Ovis aries: one gene and its partners. The protein of the gene in region 1 interacts with the protein of each later gene in a biochemical or structural test. Links are inferred from orthologs where the notes say so. Each region holds a gene or a part of one and is shown in the gene's direction. Other genes may lie near its edges.

Region 1 (3,513 bases):
CTTTCTAGATTCCCTAGTAGTTTATACGTGCGCGTGTGCGTGCGCACACACACACACACACACACACACCTGTTTTTCTTTCCTGATTAATTAAAACTAGTTCTGGAGAAGTGTTAGGGACCTTTACACATAATCCATAATCTTAATGTGGGTATGTGGAGGGGGTGGATGCAGAGAGCGCTGGTTCCTGCCGGGTTTGAGCAGGGGCAGCCCATTGTCATCTGGAATCCTACCGTATCCTCTTCGAGCATCACCCACTTTGGTGCAAGAGACGAGCTTTCTTTACCTTTGCTTTCAGTTTATTTATGGTTTATTTAAGTTTATGGTCTAAATTTTGGTCTCTGCCTTTTGGCTGAAAGCAATGAAAAATGTCCTTTCTGACAATAACATCTGGTTTGTACCCCTTCATTTGGTAAACCTTTTTGGCATAACATAATGTTCAGTCCTATTTAGAATTACTTTTTGAGAAACCAACGCTTCTCAAACGTCAGTCAGAACTAAATATATTCAATATATTAGAAAACAATTCTCATTTACATGTTAAAGCCAATCCTGGGCTTGCTTAAGTTTATAGCTTCAAACAAACCCTTTTGTTGTAATTTTGCCTTAGTTTTAAAAATGGGGATGGACTATAAAGTTTTTCTTTTTTAAGAATTTTAAAAATTGTTTACAGGCCCGACTCCCTCATTTGTACCAGTTTTTCAATATTGTCATAATTCATGGCTTCTGGGCCATAAATTGCCAGGTGGGGATGTAGTGGTACCTTGGTGTTCTGCTGTCTTTCGGCGTCGCACCTGCTGTGTGAGCAGATAACCTAGCACAGAGTCACTTGTACTTCACACTGAACACTAAATTGGTTTGTTTTCTTCTAGAGTCATCCACTGTCTCTAGTTTTTGCTTTCAAATCTACAGAACATGTTAAAATCTATGTTGAGTTTCCTTTCTGAAGAGATGTCTAAAATTGTGTTATATAAATCTAAAACGGATTTCCAATACTTTTTGTTTTAATAGTATATCACAGAATTGGCAAATGCCTTGTCTTACTGTCATTCAAAGAGAGTTATTCACAGAGACATTAAGCCAGAGAACCTGCTCCTTGGATCAGCTGGAGAGCTTAAGATCGCCGATTTTGGGTGGTCGGTACATGCCCCATCCTCCAGGTATATAACTTCAGAGATGGAACTTGTTTGTTTGGTTTAGTAAAAGCCTAGGGGCTAATGAGCTAAATAGTAAAATATTTACTGTAAGTAAATGTAAGCATAGATGTTGTGGGCGGTTGGGTCAGGTAACTGACATACATGCTTTGGAGTAATTTAGGCCTGGCAGGAAACTAGTGTCTTCAAGAACATTTTTACTATGCAGCCATTTGTGGATGTTTATCCTGGGGTTACGGAGAAGGCAATGGCACCCCACTCCAGTACTCTTGCCTGGAAAATCCCATGGACAGAGGAGCCTGGTAGGCTGCAGTCCATGAGGTCGCTAAGAGTCAGACCTGACTGAGCGACTTCGCTTTGACTTTTCACTTTCATGCATTGGAGAAGGAAATGGCAAGCCACTCCAGTATTCTTGCCTGGAGAATCCCAGGGATGGAGAATGCTGGTGGGCTGCCATCTATAGGGTTGCACAGAGTCGGACACGACTGAAGCAACTTAACAGCAGCAGCAACCTGGGGTTAAAGATGCATACTATCCTTAGAGGCCAGTGAAGGGGACAAATAGGTAAAAGATATGACAAGTGTATCACAGAATGAAATGCGGTGTGTAGAGGGGGAACAACACCTGACTGACGGGGAGGCAAACTCCACTGCCTCCAGGGCCAGGAGACACGAGTTCTATGAGTTCTGAGGGCAGCACCTGCAGAGCTCTAGAACTGGGAGCTTAAAGGAACCAAACTAGTTTGGATGGAGCTTTCAGACTGGTGGGTAAAGATTCTTTGGTCTGCTTCTGTCAACAGAGCAGTCCTTTCCTATCTCCTCTTAAAGCAGAGAGACCAACCTATGAAACAATTTAAGTGAACTTTGCAAACAGAGCTAAAACATTTTCTCCTGTTTTTAGGTTGGGTTTCAATGAGCTTTTGAAACCATGTGTGAAGTAGGGCAATTAAAAGCATACATCTACTGCTAAGAGTTTGTCAGCTTTGGGGTAGGTCTTTAAAAAATTGTAACCAGATTACTTTAAAGCCAGTTTAAAAAACTGTATAGTCCCAAATGGATGCTGTTGAGTGTGAGATTTGTTTTTGATATAGATCACTCCTAATTGTTTCCAGCAAGGCACTGAATCTGCTGTTGCAGTCTCTTTTTGTTTAGGGGAGAAAAAAATCTGGTTGTCACAAGTGGGAGCTGTTGGCCTCTGGTGAGGCAAACAGCAATGGCTGTATGATCACAGGGCTAAGCTGGACCTTGGCCCGCCCAGTGGTGTCCTCACGACAGGAAAGCTAGCTGATCCTTTTCTAAAGAGGATATCATATAAAATGTTGGTCACTTGGCCCGGCTTCCCATAGCTGGTTCGCTGTAAGAGCTCTCAGGTTACTGTGCTGTCTTCCAAGGCTCTTGATCTGGGCCTTCTCCCGAATCCAGTGGTGAGAGGCTAGGAGTCTGCGGTGGCAGCTCCTTTAGGTGAGCGAACATTTGTGCACTTGCCAGGCACCAGTGGCACCAAAGAGTAACTGGTACAAGGCAGCAAAATCTGCCTAGCCTTTGCTCCTGTTTTGATGTCTGTTTCCAACCTCTGTTATAAAAACAGACACGCTGAATTGATCACCTGCCTATCCAGTGCCTATACTCCCAATAGTTGTTAACATTTTACCACATTGAGTGTGTCTACGTTTTGGTTAACCTTCAAAAAATAAGTGACAGACAGCATGCTTCATCCTTTGAGTGCTTCAGTAAGTAGGCTAAGGACATTGTCCTGTATAATCACAGCCATTATCACACCTAAGAAACCTAGTCTTGTTAATATCTACTATTTAGTCCATGTTCAAATTTCCCTAGTTGTTCACACAGTTTTATAGTGGTGATACTTTAAATCTTATATATCATTTAAGGAAGTTCTGGAATTAGACATATTTGGGGTGCCACATGATTGCTAACTGTGAGGTCTGGTACAGCACCCCATCTAAAAATGGGTTTATAATAGCACCTGCTTTGTAGCACAGGAGCTAGCCTAGGAAAAGCGCTCAGGGTTAGTGGAATGGTTGGTGCCTTTGAGCAGCTGTCATGATAATAGAAACAGTAGCACGTCAACCCGAGCCTGCCTGTATTTTCAGGAGGACCACCCTCTGCGGCACGCTGGACTACCTGCCCCCTGAGATGATTGAGGGCCGGATGCACGACGAGAAAGTGGACCTCTGGAGCCTTGGGGTGCTTTGCTATGAGTTCCTCGTCGGGAAGCCTCCTTTTGAGGCAGACACATACCAGGAGACCTACAGAAGAATATCACGGGTAAGGCCTCACTACAGAGGGACCCGTCGTTGTTAGAATTCCTTATCAGCCTTGACAGGAGGCTATGATCTGAG
Region 2 (3,960 bases), on another chromosome or scaffold:
GGACAGGAAGGCCTGGCGTGCTGCAGTCCACGGGGTCACAAAGAGTCAGACGCGACTGAACTGAACTGAGTTGCTCAGTCAGTAAGGAATCTGCCTTCAATGCTGGCAGACCAGGGTTCAATCACTGGGTGGGGAATGTCCCCTGGAGAAGGAAATGGCAACCCACTCCAATATTCTTGCCTGCAGAATCCCATGGACAGAGGAGCCTGGTGAGCTACAGTCCACAGAGTCGGCTATAGTCCATGGAGTCTCAGGAGAGTCCAACACGACTTGGCGACTTAACTATCACCAGAAATGTATGTGTAGAACTGTTGGCTTCTTCTCTTGATATTTGCCTTTTAGCAGGTCATCGCGTTACAGATTAATGACTTCCAGTTGGAGATTAAGTGGCAAGTCCTGAATAACAGGGTTAAATGGATTATGAAATAATGGAAATGTCCTCTGTATTTGCATCAAAGTCTGAAAAAGTATGCTGGAACTGCAGTTTGAGGTTGGCGATTTGTGCTGAAATGGAAATCTGGATTCTTACTTTAACCTTTGACAGCATGGAAAACATACAAGCAATTTGGCTTTACTTGTGACTCAGACAGTGTTAACTGTTATGGAAACAATTTCGCTCTATTATTATCATTTTTTTTTTCCCTCCCCCCAATTTCGCTCTATTATAAATTTTGCTGTCTTGCTTTGTAAGTTTAAGTTGAAATCATTAAGAAACATCATCGTCTATATTATTTCTGTAAAATGGCTGAGCTCGGCCCGTATTGAGGACAGAGTTGGGTGAAGAAACGGCAGTGAAGAGGCACTAAGGCCTCACCTATCTCCCAGGTCCCTCAGGGCACTCGCAATGCACGCTGGGACTTGTAGTTCTTGCGTGTGAGACCTTGCGCGCGCAACTCCCACCTCGGGAGATCTCCTCTCCAGGCCGCGCGCCGCTGTTCCCGGAAGCTGTACAGGTTAAAGTTTCAACGCTTCCTCTCCCCTATTCTTAGTCCCGCAGAGTGCCAATCCACAGAGCCAATCGATGGGCTGACTGGTGCTTCCTTTTACTTGATTGGCTTAGAGTTTTGCAGCCGCCCAGACAAACTTGACGGGGATTGGTCGAACCTTCAGTTTTGAAAATCGTAGGTTTGGCCCGCGCTGTACCGCCCCGTTGGTTCACTGCAGCCGCAAGCCTTGGAGGCCGGGAGCCGTGGGGCTTGGGCAGGCTGGGATTTGTGTTGGGGGGGTCGCCGGACTTGGATCGGAGCAGCAGTTAAGGAGACGCGGTGCAGTCGAGTGAGTCTGCGCGGGCGGCTGGCGGGGCTGGGGTGTCGTTAGCAATTTGTTATCCCTCCGCCAGCCCTGGACCGGGGGTCATGACCTCCCTTATCCCCCGTTGCGGCCTGCAGGGGATGGGTCACCTCTTCCAAGTGACGAGGTGCCCTGCCTTGGTCCTGGGGCCCAAGATGACCCCACCCTTCCCCCTCCAGGCGCCTTTTATTGACCTGGACGCTCAGGAAGCACCCACCGACTGGGTGTTTGGCGGCATTGTACCAGATGGCATTTCTGTACAGTTAACCCTGGCTCACCACCTCCCTTATCGGCTGAGCAGCATTTTAAATTGACCCGTTTCCGGAGGCCAGTGCTGACTTGTCACTCCCCCGGCCCGTTTACTGACAGTGGCCTTCCCTGGGGCGCCCAGTCAGAACTTAGCGCCAACCTTTCCGAAGTTGAAATGGAGTAGGCGGCAAAGCTGAGGTTAAGAGCACGGTTTAAATCCGGGCCCCTCCCTTGACTTACCCGAAGACTTGGGTAAGACTTCAGTCTGCCTCAATTTGCTCATCTGCACCAGAATCTCCTTGAGGTTGTGGCGAGAATGAAATGAGATGATGCTCCACCCGAGCATGGAGCAGGTCTCTTTACAGAAAGTAGCTATTACGAGCTTCTTCACTGAGGTGTGGTCAGGGTTATCTGGTGGTCTTCCCACACCCTCAAAAGAACAGTCATTGTGAAGGAGGGCCGTGGGGCTCTTAATGTATGACGTGAGAAAAGTATTGGGAGAGGAAGATGAGCCTCCTTCACCCTTGGTGGGACGTAAGGTGCTTTGGGTTTGTATCCAGGTTCTTATAGGGGACTGAAAAGATTTTTATCGCCTTTCCCCAGACCCTCATTCTTAACACTGATCTCCTTTCTCAGGGTCATCTCTGATCTAATGACAGTGACCCTTTTTAAATAGGCTGAGGCTGCTGAAAACAAACCTCCTTATGGAAGAAGCTCAAACACTTCTTTGCACTTTGTGTAAGAAGCCCTGACCCACTTTGCCATTTACTTTTTTAAATAAAAGAGCAAATTGTTGCTCTCCATAGCACAAATTGTTTTGTGTTCCTTAAACAGGTCTCTCCTAGCCTCAAACTGGATTCCTGTCGTTAGCCAGGACTGAACGCTGGGACAGAGGGACTGGGGGGAGTCAGAGGGATGGCAGCCAGGAGGCTGTGCTGTGACTGGAATCTGCACACCTGTCTCTGCCCAAAGCCTCCGCGGTCCTGCCCAGTTGGTCCTGCCCTGACGGGTGCTGCTCTTAGCTCCTCGGAGTAGGGCTTTGGATGAGAAAGGCGTGCTCTGACCTGTGTAGAATGGCCTCATTTGGTGTCCCTGTGTGTGTGTGTCTTTGGGGAGGGAGTTAGAGTGTCTGTAGAATGTTTATTTCTAGGTGTACATTTGATAGATGGATCTGTTCATTCAACAGGTGTTCCTTTTGTGCCAGGCATGCTGCCAAGCTCTGGGCTTCAAAGCTACGAGCAAGACAGATCAGGGCTTGCCCTCAGGGAACAAATGCTTAGTGGGCAGAGACAGGTAGTCAGGAAGCAGATACATCGTTACCTGAGTGTTGTGCAGAGTATTGAAATTGATGGATAGGATGGTGGCTGGTAGTCAGGTCCTCCCTGCATTGCTGAGAGCCAAGTGCTGAGGAGTGAGCTGTACCAAATAGGAGACAGAAGGTTCCAGGCAGAGGGCAGAGCTTGCTCGAGGAACAGAGGCCAGTGTGCCCTGGAAATCAGGCTCCAGGAAGGCAATCCTGTGAGGCTGCAACAGCACCTGGCGTTAAGCCCTTTATAGGGGTCAGTGACTTAGCCCCTCCTTCCAGAACTTCCTGTCTCAGGTAGAGGCTGAGCTGTGGATGGTTCCTGGTTTTGAAGGTGTTGATCGGGTGGTGGTCACTGCCATGGCGTGAGACACGCAGTCTGTTATTATGGCTTGTGACTGTCACCTATTAATTCATTCTTTCATTCATTGCCCCAGTCAGGATGTTTATTGAGCCCCTGCTATGAACCACAATAGAACACTTCTTCCTTGCTTGGGGCTTTGGTGATAATTTTATAACTGAATTTTGAGGAGAATATCTGAGTTTCTAGTTGTTTGTTTTTGTTTGAGTGGCTAGTTTCTTAAGAAATTAAGACATAGAAAGCAAGCTTATGGTTACCAAAGGGGAAAGGGGGGAAGAGATAAATTAGGAGCTTGGGGTTAAAATATACACACTATGATATACAAAATAGATAACCAACAAGAACCTACTGTATAGCCCAGGGAACTCTACTCAGTAACTTTTAATAACCTGTAATAAAAAAGAATAGATATATATGTATCTGTAAACTGAATCACTTTGCCACGCATCTGAAACTAAAAGCAGCTATACGTCAATAAAAACTATTTTTAAAAAATTAAGGGAAAACTAATTTTGTATTTTATACTGCCTGATATTTCTAGACTAAGTTTTCTAAAAAAGAAGACATTGCTTATCCGTTTCCCTCATGCTCCCTCATCCATCCGAAGGCGTTTCTGTTCAAGGGAGAGAGTTATAGGGGCCCCCTAGAGAAGAGCCTGTCTCTGGACCACCACTTTCTTACCCACTCCTTTGGAATGCAGATCTGTCATTTACTAGCGTCCATAAGGAGCAGTTGGATTTGATGTTCTTTGACCTGA
Region 3 (4,224 bases), on another chromosome or scaffold:
GGATGAGATGGCTGGATGGCATCACTGACTCGATGGACGTGAGTTTGAGGGAACTCCGGGAGTTGGTGATGGACAGGGAGGCCTGGCGTGCTGCAATTCATGGGGTCGCAAAGAGTCAGACATGACCGAGCAACTGAACTGAACTGAACTGAACTGAAATGGGCACAACATTTTGAAAATGCAAACCAGTTGCCAGGATGTTAGGAATCTGAATTAAAATTCAGCATTTCTTTGGTCAGATTATAGTAGGGGGTGGCCCTATTTTGTGTTTGTCATAAAGAGATTGTTATTAAACAGCTCTTCTTATTTAAAACAGTCAACGTTTGTCTAATATTTTATTCACTCAACAAATGTGAAAGTCTGCTCTGTGCCAGGCAAGGCTTATGTTCTCATAGCCACAGGTCCTCCTACCTCACACAGCACTTAACGTGAGTTCTGCTTTATATAATATGGGCTTATCTGGTGGCTCAGATGGTAAAGAATCTGCCTGCAACTCGGTTCGATCCCTGGGTGGAGAAGATTCCCCTGGAGGAGGGGATGGCTACTCACTTGCCTGAAGCGTTCCATGGACAGAGGGACCTGGTGAGCTACAGTCCATGGCATTACAAAAAGCTGGACATCACTGAGCGACTAACACTTTCACTTTATCTGTTTTACCAAAGTGTAAGGCCCTTGATGCCTGGAATTATGTCTTATACGTTTTTGTGATCCCAATATCAATGAGCACAATGCCTTGTACACAGTAGGGACTCAATATTTGTGAATTGAACTATGCGATAGCATAGTTGTTGTTAAAAGGAGTTACCAAAAAAGCACAACATAACTTGTTTTGACTGCACTCTCTAAAGTAGATATAATTGTTGTGCAAGTAAATAAATATTGAGTGTTTATAGAGAAAAGCATGTTCACTACAGGAGTGAAGGAGAGAGAGTGCATAAATGGGTGGAGACTGATCTGGAAGAAGCGTTGTTATTTTTCCTCAGGTCAGTCCAGAATGATCGTGTAGGGTAACTAGAATTTCAGTCTTCTGGTTCTCAGAGAATTTTCATCCCTCTCACCTTTCTAGAACTACCCCGCCTCTTTCTGCTTCTTCCCAAAGGGCTGTGTCCAACTGACTACACCTCAAAGTCTCAAGAGTCCACCCAGTACCCACCTAGCTCCGGCTCAAGAACTCTCCAGACCAGGGACTTTAGGAACACCCGCCAGGAAAACACGGGTTCAGGAGCGGGGCAAGCACCAAACTGGTCACAGCGCGGGGAGCGGCGCTCAGGGCGGGGCTGTTACGGGGCGGGGCCGGGCCGGGCCGGGCCGGGCGGGGCGGGCGGGAGGAGGCTCGGGGGGCCGCTTGGGTGTCACCACCAACCAGCTCCGGCCGGAAACTGGCGCTTGTTTCCGGCCGGACGGCCGAAAACCACCGATCCTGAACCAGCAGCCCAGAGTCCGAGTGGCGACCGAGTGCGGAGCAGGCAAAAAGCCACTGGGGAAGCCAGTCCAGATCAGTCCTATCTGGCTCCAGCTCCTGATCCTGTGCGGAGCAGCAGCCGCGGTCTCAGTCTCAGCCAACGCCTCCGCCTCCATCGTCGACGGGGGAGGGGCCGGCCGGACCCCTGGGTCACAGCCGAGGAATGAGGAGAGGCAGCCGGGCCCCGCGCTCCGCCCCGGCCTAGGGCCTTGCCCCAGGAGCCGCGAGGGTAACGGAGCCCCCGCATTGTCACCCTCCCCCGTCTGTTCCCGCCCCTCCCGCCTCTTCAGACTCCCAAACTCTGACCCTCTGGTCGCCACTGTCCCTCTTCTCCTTTCTGATTGTGTTTCACGCGGAGCCGTCTCCTTTCGGCACCCCCTCCTCGCCCTGACTGCTCCTTGCTTGGTTCCAACCTTTCTCCCGTTACTCCTCCCTTTCACCTGCGTCCCACCTTCCCAGCCCCCCTTCCCCGTTCGTGGCCTCCCTTCCTCAACTGTGCTGGGCAGTTTGGACGGTTCTCCTTGTCAGCTAGACTTTCGGGGAGGGATGGTGGAATTTTAAGGTGGCTAGGAGTGCCGGCTACTACTCTCATAGTACGATAAAGTTCATTTTAAAGTCTCGAAAGTAAAATGAGCAGAAACCAAACTGTTCTGCCATATCGGTAGTTAAACTGAGGTGCGTCCAGTAATGGAGGAAGGGAGCGAAAAAGAAGTGTGTATACGAGAAAGAGAGTGATAGAGAGATAGATTGATTTTATGGCAGGCTTATGAACTTTGGAAAAAAAAAAAAGTTGCCATGAGCCGATGGAAACTTTAGAAGCTGATGATGAGTAAGCCGGGAGCTGCGTGATCTCACTCCTCTTCTCATAATTACTAGGTTAACGGTGTGGCTCCGGTCGGGATGGAATGGGATTTGTTTACTGGGCCGGCGTATTTTTAGCTTGTCAGCTCACAAGGACCAGCGCTCTGAGTCTCCCCCCTCTCTGTCTCTCTTCCTCTCTCTTTTTCTCACCCTTCTCTCTCTCTGTGTTTAGGTAGTCTCTGGAACCTAGGTGGCTTCTCTGGGCACAATAAATATAAAAATTAAACTAAAATAGATTTTATATAAGAGATTCTCCCCAACTCTTCAGGGAGTTTTCATGAATGCAAAGGCAAAAATTAGTTGACTTGTAGTTCATATATGTATAAATCCTTTTATAAAATCAGAAACGGGTAATTGTTTAGTCTTTGACTTATCGTACTGTATATTTAGATGTTAGAGGACGCTGGAACCCTTTGTCTTTCAACCTATTTCTAAAGTGAGAAAGGACAGAGGGAAGAAGTAGCAGGAAGGTGGGTCCATAAGGGTAGCTAGTCTTAAATCTTTTAAAAACATTTTTTATACTACTTAACTTTAAAAGAGAGAAGATTTCCTTCCTAATCAACGAGGTTGTATTCTTGACGGAGAAGACAGTAGGGACTTATGCTGGGTGGCTAGGGAGAATCAGACTTGTAATTAAACATTTGCTGTGCATAATTTACAAATGAATACATTATGGGCAAACAATTATACTCTTTGTCCTCATTGTTTTTCCCAGCCTTTCTTTTAAAGGTTAATAACCAACCTGCTGTGCTAGTCTATTGATATTTTGAAGGCTGGACAGAACTGTAAAGTAAATTGATGTTGTTCACGGGGAAGCCGAGTACCAGTCTGTTCTAATTTCCACTAGCTACCCGGCATGCCTCGGAGCACCTCCCTAAGTTGGTGGCCAGTTACTATGTACTTGGAGATTACAAATGAATACACGTATTAGGTCATGCTAGGAGTAATTGAGAAGTTAAACGTACTGAAAAGATTTTCCAAAACTGAAATAGATTCTTTTTCGATTTTTTCCATTTTGGATTATCAGCACCTTTCTACCGATAATCATCCATTAACATGAATGAATAGAATTGAACAGATACCCGCTTTGGACAGCATGCACTGAAGCAGGAAGGAAAGAAGGAAAATAGTTTCCAAACTACTGTCATTTTTGTTGTTGTTGTTGCCTACTTTGGCTTATCCCTTTCCTTTAATGTCAAAGACTTCCTTGTGAAAAAAAAGTAAACCTTTACCAAAGAAAGGTCTGTATACTGACTTGTATAAGGCAGGCTGACCAGTAATGGATGTTAATTATTGGTTGGACTTTGATGTAGTTATGTTGCCAGAAACTTGGAAATTTTCCTGACACTTTTTCCCCTTAATCTTTTTCTTTGGGGCTCCTATTGAAAATGTTTTAGTTTGGAGGGAATATCTAATTTTTCAAAATTACACACACTGTTCCAGAGTCTGTTGACTATCAATAATTGTTTTAATTTGTGAGTTAGTTGGTGTCATTATTAGTGATGATATCTAGCACATTCAGCTTATATCTGTATTTAGCAACTTGCCCCAGTTGAACTACTTGTATTATTCCCAGGGTTGGGGTTAGGGGTAGGGATTGAAATGGTGAATAAAATCCTATAATAAGTGTAGGGCAACCCAATAGCCCATCACTATTTTCAGTTCTCAGAAGGCTTTGTTTGGAATTTTGAGTTTCAGTATATGTTACTAAGTGAATTATGATGGAATAACTCAGTATTAAAAATAAGTTTTCAGGTTGTTATGGGGCCACTTGTTAAAGTTTTAGAGCTCCTGAATGTCTCAAGCATGCTAAGTATGCTGGAAGAGGACATTGTAAGGGAGCACTTTTTCTCCTTACCCCAGACACTCATCCCATCAGGGAAAAAAATCCTGAAACAATG

The links.
Region 2: the proteins of AURKA (region 1) and INCENP form a complex in vitro, tested with the Homo sapiens proteins (3 studies listed by BioGRID and IntAct, with this or other methods). The link is inferred for Ovis aries from reciprocal best matches to the Homo sapiens genes AURKA and INCENP.
Region 3: of the proteins of AURKA (region 1) and OTUD7B, one has a biochemical effect on the other in vitro, tested with the Homo sapiens proteins (2 studies listed by BioGRID, with this or other methods). The link is inferred for Ovis aries from reciprocal best matches to the Homo sapiens genes AURKA and OTUD7B.

Annotation. Positions count from the first base shown.
Region 1 is NC_056066.1:59,223,888-59,227,400, forward strand, and holds part of AURKA (aurora kinase A), read left to right. Parts: intron 1-1,011; coding exon 1,012-1,160; intron 1,161-3,264; coding exon 3,265-3,439; intron 3,440-3,513. UniProt on the Homo sapiens protein: Mitotic serine/threonine kinase that contributes to the regulation of cell cycle progression.
Region 2 is NC_056074.1:37,157,010-37,160,969, forward strand, and holds the start of INCENP (inner centromere protein), read left to right. Parts: upstream 1-1,152; 5' UTR 1,153-1,275; intron 1,276-3,960. UniProt on the Homo sapiens protein: Component of the chromosomal passenger complex (CPC), a complex that acts as a key regulator of mitosis.
Region 3 is NC_056054.1:100,104,080-100,108,303, reverse strand, and holds the start of OTUD7B (OTU domain-containing protein 7B), read left to right. Parts: upstream 1-1,416; 5' UTR 1,417-1,691; intron 1,692-4,224. UniProt on the Homo sapiens protein: Negative regulator of the non-canonical NF-kappa-B pathway that acts by mediating deubiquitination of TRAF3, an inhibitor of the NF-kappa-B pathway, thereby acting as a negative regulator of B-cell responses.